Linked DNA regions of Neodiprion lecontei. The protein of the gene in region 2 purifies or fractionates together with the protein of the main gene of each other region. This does not show direct contact. Links are inferred from orthologs where the notes say so. Each region holds a gene or a part of one and is shown on either strand. Other genes may lie near its edges.

Region 1 (3,927 bases), on a different chromosome or scaffold from region 2:
TTATTGAAAGATTATTTGCTACGAGCTACATGGAATATTTCGCATGAACTTTAATCAACTTAATGAAAATGTGCAACTAGGATTGAAATATCTCTTGCTCCACAAAACCCGAGCACTAATTATTTGAAAATAAATTCATCAATTTGTGTGTATAGCAGATTTAAGGATTAAGGTTTCATAGATATTACAAGATTTCCCAGAATGTTACAGAATTTCATAAGATTTCAAAGGATTCTAGTGATTTCTGGTGGTTTCTAATGATTTCACAAGATTCCACAGAATTTCTCCGGATTTCAAACAATTTGAAAACAGTTTATGAAGTCTCAGGGGATTCTTGTATTTACAAAAATATCAAATATTTTAAATGATTTCAGGAGGTTTCACAGGATTTTACAGGATTTCAGAATATTTCATAAAATGTTAGGAATTTCAAAAAATTTCACTCGATTTCAACAGGTTTCATGGGATTTCAGTAGATTTCCTGAGATTTCACCGTATAATTTCAAAGGATTTCATATGATTTCGTGAGTGGTGGTTATACTATACTTTGAGCCTAGTTAATCCCTCTAAAAATGCTAAATAAATTAAAAAATTCAGTACTGTTTCAGTGACTGGAGATTGAGGCATGGCTCCAAAGATCAAGGAAGACATCCTACGACTTATGCCTCCTAGCCAGCCTTGGCTGGTGCGAAGAACTCGGCAAGAAATGCTGTTTCGTCCACTGGTAAATTGCGGCTGCAAAAGCGCCACTGTGCAAGTCGTCGTTGCTAAAATGCAACCGTGCCCTGGTACGTAAGTTAGACAGTCAACCTCCTGTCCAGCCAATTCTGCGCTTGTTTCCACCGACGACCCCTCATGAGCGACGCTTGACCAGTAGCGAACTACGCCTTCCGGAGATACAGCCATGCAGCTAGGAACCTTGGTATTAAAAAAATGAGAAATATGAGAAATATGATTAATAAAATGCGATATAATAACAACATCCTTACAGAAAGACTAAAATTTTCCAGGTTAAAGTCGAAAGCCTCCAGTAAAAATGAATCGGAGCCTGGTTTCTAAATTTGTCAAATTTTTTTCTCATCTAAATTAATTAAATTACTTGATTTTCTGTTCACCAAATTCTTTATTCTTTATGACCTATATGCTTGAAGTTTCGATGAACCAAGTCTGATCGAAAACCAAACTTTTCTACCAATACTGTGATTAGATGACGAATTTCTGAAAAGTGAATGAAACCTGAGAGGCTTTTGAAAAGTAGAGAATTATTAAAACTGTGGCCGAGTCTTACAGTGATCTACTCGGTATTATTGGAATCCTTTCCGACCAATCTTGAAGCTTGATCAATCGAAACTTCAGGTATGCTATTCCTTGTTACACCTAGATTTACACCTAACCTGATGACCCGGAGTCAGCCAGACAGCAATGCAGTCAGCTTTGTGAGCAAGGTCGCTTTGAGGAAGTAGCAACTCTCGACATTGACTGTTAAAGGTCCGCCTGAGCTTGGGATCATGAATGGTTGTTTTGCATTGCCACACAAGGAGCCTGCGCCCGCAAACCAGCCAAGCCCATCCATCTAAAGACACACTGACGCTGACTGCGGTGTTTCGATCAACAAACGTCAATGCCTCGGTCACAAGAACCGGCAAAGAAGGTCCGAAACTTTCCACGACATGGCCAGCCGTCTTGCATATTACTTGGACAGACTGATTCGATCGCCCCGAAATGCTTATTACTCTGGAATTGAACAATTTATATTCAGATGAGAACAAATAAGCGCATTTTAATTGTTAGCTGGATTTGAAATTCGATGAGAGGTGAAATCTTACGATACTTTATAAGTTCCGCAGTATGTTTAGCGGTGGCTACGCGTGTATGTGCGTTGTTTGTTCAATATTTGAAAAAAATTAACTTACGTTGTTTCACATTACATAGATATTTTTTTGAGGAGGTTTTTGGGCCAAATATCGATACTGGTTATCAATTTTATTACGAGGTTGTCATACACTGAGTATTTAACCAATTACTATATTCTTAAGCTACGAAAATCACGTTAAAAATACCCAAATAAATATTACTGGGATTTCAAACAAGAGCTTACATACCGATACTTGATCTCAAATTGCTTCGAAAAAGTTAAAAATCTAGCAGTGTGGATTGATTTCATTAGACTAGAGTTTATTTTATTTCGAAGACTATTTTCTATGTTCTCAGACATTTTCTTTTTTCTTTCAGTGTTTAATTTAATATTGTCATTTGTTGACCATAATCGAAATTGGTGCAATGTTATAATATCAAAAAATCAGATATGCAATTATGATGAAGACATTGTTCGATTTAATATGTACAATATGGTCTCTTGAATAAAATGAGGACCTGCAGAAACAAATGGCTGGAATCTGATATATTTGCAACCGTCTTTCAGCAATTGGAAACGAAACATTGATACTTAAGCTTTCAGTTATAACTTTAGTAATATTTACTTTTGTATTCTCAAACTTGGTGATATCTCCTCAACTTATGATTATAACAGTTTGGTGAATACTCCAGGGACGACAACCTCATAATAAGACTATTGAAGAGTATCAAGTTTCGTCTACCCAGTATCCCTAATTACCCATCTTAGCTATGAACCATGCTAAGAAATTATTGGTTTACACATGGTTTGGTTATGTAGAAAACTATATTTCAGGGCCATGGAAATATAACTGGGGATTTGAACCGACTGCTTGAAATTCTCTCGGAAATATATCGTATTTTTCTTCATCCAACGAATTCAATCCCAAACATTATTTACATTTGGTGAAGAGATTTCGAAAATTTTTAATCATTCATTGAAGTGGAAATTTGCCGAAATATTTCCCGTATTCTGAGATAAGGATTGCGAAATCAATGATACAGTAGGAAGATTTCTTACGAATTACTCTTCTTCAGGGACTGCGTTAATGACATTCTCTTTCGTGGTGAGGTTAGAGTGTTTCCCAAAGATGCACTCATGCTCGGACGATCCATTTCGAGTTGGTACTGGGATGAATAAATGATGCAAGAAAATTTGGTCTTTGAAACTGGCAAATACGCATCAGAAATTGTAATTCAACTGAATTTGATATTGGTCTGACAGCATAATCTTTTCACAATTTGTTTTGGTACGTTTCAGTGCGCATTTTCGAAGCCGGTGTTCGAACTTCGAATTTCGATAATCGATCTTCATGACCATGATGTAAGGAGTCAAGTAAGGTGTGCTCGATAGGGGACCAATTTTCGTACTAGGTCGCGCATTCCGCCAGTTGAGTGTGCGGCAAGCCGACAGCGCGTGCGCATGCGCATGTACACTTGAGGACAATGAATCTGGGACGGCTAATTTTTCACTGTAGACAGTTGAGTTGGCAACATGAAGAAACCTACAGCGCCGTAGTCAGCTAAGCGCGAAACCATGAAGACTAGAAGTAGGGAGACCGAACGCTGTGTTGGGAACGTGGTCTATGAAAGTGGAGAAAATTTTTAGCGTTAAATCCGAAAAGAGTGCTGTTGTCGCTGAGATAGGCAACACAGAGAACGCTATATCCAACGGTATCAAAATGAAGAATAAGTCAGGTCAAAGCCTTTCTCCCTTGTGAAGTTGTTTGAGTGATGTATTTGTTTTTAAATTTTTGTGTGGACCGTAGAATGAAAAACATGAAAAAAGTTGGACATGATAAGATTCTAACCTTAATAGAATAAAGCACATGGTAAATAATGAATAAATAATCTCAGATTTGACTTGTATGATCCTATTCTGACTAATTGGACCCCCTGGGACTCAAAAATCACAAGCGAAAAGTAACTAGGACCAACGGCAGAGAAATTACGTGGGAAAGAGCTCCTGCAGAAAAATGGCGAAAATTCGAAATCTCGTTTTTTGTCTGTAACTTGAGATACGTTGATCGCAGC
Region 2 (3,927 bases):
AGCTTGCGTATAGGAAATTTCAACCAGAACATAATCAATTTCTTTTAATGCCTGTATTGCTAAGTACTACGACGCAGCGATGCTTATGATAATGATGATGCTCGTTTTAAATTTGGAAAAACAAAAAAATAAATAAATAAATAATCACAGATGAATCACGAATAGAAGAGAGTAAAAAAAAAGTTAGCTAAACATCGACATGCGGTGTAGTACAACAACCAACAAAGAAACGAACAAAGAGAAATAGGTGGAAGATAGGAGATTGACGTATAGATACACACAGATATTGAAATTATACAAATATTTACACACAGTTTGATTGTGCATCCAAGAGCGAATGTCATACTTTGGCAATTACTCTACAAACTTGTCTGCAAGTCTCAGGGTTTTCAAAGCGTGTCCAGTAAAAAATTAACAATGCACCAAGTTTTAATGCTTTTTCAGGAAAGGAGTGGTTTTTGATAATGCTCGGAAAAATTGTAAGCAAGTAAATTTAGAATATGAGAATCGTACCAAAAAAAATAACGATTTTCAAGATTTCATAAACTCAAGAATTTTTTCGGGACTTCGGACGCTATGTTTAGTGTTCCTTTCAATCTGTCGCTGCTGGCATATGAACAGCCACCGATCATAGTTTCTGCTCTTGGATACAGCAAATAGCAAAAAGAGGAACATGAAAATTGATTTACCTAGGAAATCCAACCGATCCTTAGCCATGGCGAGATTAGCACGCATTTTGTCATGCAATTTCTGAGCCCTCTCCCAGACTTCGCCACGTCCGCCGTTGCATTCGACCGCTATGCCTTTTTCCAGCTCACCGATACCCTTTTTATAGAGCTCGATAGCCATTTCTTTATGACCTGTTTTGTGGTGTGTCAGGTTGTCATTAGGCAGGATAAAACGGATATCTGGCTTATAAAAAGGTGTTTTGACACTGGAACAGAGTCCTCTAAATAACAAAGAGAGTACAGTGGAACCCTGAATTATCCAAACCATGACTTGATTTATCCGAACTTTGGCTTAGAAAATACATTCTGGTGCACGATATGTACATTGTTACTCGCTGCAGTTTTGCAAGCCCTGAACATGTTCGAGTAAGCTGGAGAGAATTTCTCATCTTCCGGCGTCAGTCCAATCGTAACATTGCTTCTACCAATAAAATAAGCGTCCTGTGTTTGAAAGAGGATAAACGTATAATTCGATTTTTAATATAGACTGCTTGTGGATTCAAATTTTTGTTGTACATGTTATCATCCCTTAAGATAAAAATTGCTTTTCGGTTATCCGAACTGGGTTCGGTCCCAATTAGTTTGGATAATCGAGGTTCTACCGGACTCGAAGAGGTAAACAAGGCCGAGATAACGATCAGCGACAGATAAGAAGGATTACCCTCGTTCTCCTCATCGATTTTGAGGGCCTTGCTGATGAACTCGAAGGCCCTCCTGTGGTGGTGTTTCTGTTTAGCGAGGAGAGGATCACCGGGTCCAGGACCAGCGGTGCGTCTCGGAATCTGGGACATCTGTTCAGCCTCGGGGTCGACGACGCTGAGGAGGTTATCTTTCTCGGTTCCGTCAGCGTCCTGCTGACCGACGACAATCTCGAGATGACAGTTGGCCTTGAGGCTCTTTTTGCCGTGGGCGATATTGGCGGTGCTACGCCTGAGGAATAGCCGCGAGGTCGACGTGTAGAAGTACTTGAATATCACGAATAGCTGGTAGAGCAAAGTGCGCAGAACGTTGAAGAGGAATATCAGGGGGAACGAGACGACGTACAAATTCCGCTTGTGAATCGAAGGGTGAGGGCCGTGGCCCTCCGAGTGGTGATGGTGGTGGTGGTGGTAGCTTATCGTCGTCGTTGTCACCTTGTCGCTGTCGCCGTTCTTTATCACTCGCAATTTTTTCGGCGACTTCGTACTCGACTTGCGGATCGAACGCCCGCCATCGCTGTACGACATTTCCTGTTCAAATCAAAGGTTCAAATAGCCACCGACCAAACCCCACCACCGCTCTCGCTGTTCGCGAAACGGATTACGCAATAACGCCGCTTTTCTATTCACCTGACAATTCGCAACACCACTAAAACCCCCCATCCCCCTCCCCCCCCCCGACCGACAGGTAGATTTTCAACCACTGTATTTCGCCGTTCGATTCACGGTAATTTGACTTAAACGGCCACTCGTGGCTTTACCTTACAGACTTTATTATATGTGTGTATATACATTTATTACACGCGACGCGCGCCGCCCCGTCGCAACACGCATGATTCTTCGAAATTCACCCAAATATGGGGCGGGGTTGAAATTCCGGATTACTAAAAGTCCCGAAAGCGACAAATTTCGAATTTTTTCATGGCGTAACTTATAAGTAAAGAAATCAAACTCTGACGAAACATCAAATGGTTTCGAATGGTCCGAAGCCCGACGCTGAAAGATCCGGTTCCATTATTCGCTGCTCTAGGATAAACGAACGAATTAAAAGATAATTAACTCCGTGATCTTAACGACAATAAGCAACGTGTATTTATTAACTTTGTCTGATAAAAATATACCTATGTATCATGGATATAATAAGCTTGCTGTTATTCACATTTTGTTACTAGTACGTCAAATATAACATGTACAACGAATATATAACCCACTCTCTGATTCATTTATATTATTTACAAAAATATCACACGCTTTCCACATTGGGAAAATTAAACGATATACATCCCTAAATTTCTCTTACTACTCAAATACCCTCACTTAGGAATAGACGAGTGCTTGCTTTTTCAAGCAATTTTACGGATAAAGATTAACATTTTCGTAAGTTGAATCTAACTGAAAAGGCTATTAATATTGTTTTGAGACCTTTGTTAGATATAACGTAGTGGAATAATAATGTTGTTCCGTGTCGATCTTTCTCGGAAACTTGCTGCGAAAAGAAAAGCAGAAATTCATTACACAAAAATAGAACGATTATACACAAGATGTCTGTAACTCTTTACAGTACTAGGAGAGATTGAATAAATTATCTTAAATAATACAAAGACATAAGATGTCTAAGAAACGAGCAAATTCGTCACCTTGAATACGACTTTACAAGTGCAAAGACGTAAAGTTTAGGGACACTTGATGACCCTTGGCTTCGGAGTATTCTTGAAAATCTTGTAAAAGCTTATTGTTGGGTGAATATTTTAAAATCAGACCTCGAAAGTATGGAAGTTACTCTTGGTTGAAACTTCATCCCTGAAACGTTGAATTTCACATCACATTTCTCGCTTAACACCCGTACTCTGAGTGGCAGGGGAATTTTTTTTCCTAGACGATGATTCCCTGCGAGTACTGGACTCTGTATCTCTACTCCTCTTCTTCCTTGCGCTTCCACTGCTGCTACTACTGCTGCCGCCCAGGGATGACTTCCTACCATTTTTCTTAAGCTCCATTATTTTTGCTGAGCTCGACGGAACGTAGCTGTTGTCAAACTTCATTGTCTTGCTGGTGAAGTCCGGCTGGTACTCCTCCATCTTCTTTTTCAATCCTTTCGAATTAGGAACGTATTCACCAGGTATTTTGCTGGTCGTAATAGCCGAGCTGAACGGCTCGTAGGTTTCGTTGAAATTCAGTATTTTTGGTACTGAATTCGGGACGTACAGATCGTCCAGGGCACTGGTACCCACGCCCTCTTCATTCACGATGGCCGGAATGTACTCGTCTGAGTCGACGGACCTGTTGAGATTTTCTAGGGCGCTTTTCCTGCTCGGAATATATTTTATGTCCGCTCCGTTCTCTGCTCCCTTTGTCTTAGGCACATTAGGAATATACTCCTCTACTTTGAAGCCTGTCCCGTAGAAGGTTTCCCCAGAACTCTCGAGTTTAGGCGAACTACGGCTTTCATTTTTATGCTCGGTTGTCAAGGTCGAAGACACCCGGATCTTCTCTTTCTGATT

Evidence for each region.
Region 1: the proteins of spastin (region 2) and nuclear pore complex protein Nup133 purify together in Homo sapiens (affinity purification with mass spectrometry; 3 studies listed by BioGRID and IntAct, counting the BioPlex papers as one, with this or other methods). This does not show direct contact. The link is inferred for Neodiprion lecontei from reciprocal best matches to the Homo sapiens genes SPAST and NUP133.

Annotation. Positions count from the first base shown.
Region 1 is NC_060264.1:18,456,834-18,460,760, forward strand, and holds the start of nuclear pore complex protein Nup133, read right to left. Parts: upstream 2,345-3,927; 5' UTR 2,216-2,344; coding exon 2,103-2,215; intron 1,735-2,102; coding exon 1,395-1,734; intron 919-1,394; coding exon 601-918; intron 1-600. UniProt on the Homo sapiens protein: Involved in poly(A)+ RNA transport. Involved in nephrogenesis.
Region 2 is NC_060266.1:1,222,600-1,226,526, reverse strand, and holds the start of spastin, read right to left. Parts: upstream 2,344-3,927; 5' UTR 1,955-2,343; coding exon 1,390-1,954; intron 861-1,389; coding exon 690-860; intron 1-689. Other genes in the region: uncharacterized protein LOC107218303, read right to left, coding at 3,247-3,927. UniProt on the Homo sapiens protein: ATP-dependent microtubule severing protein that specifically recognizes and cuts microtubules that are polyglutamylated.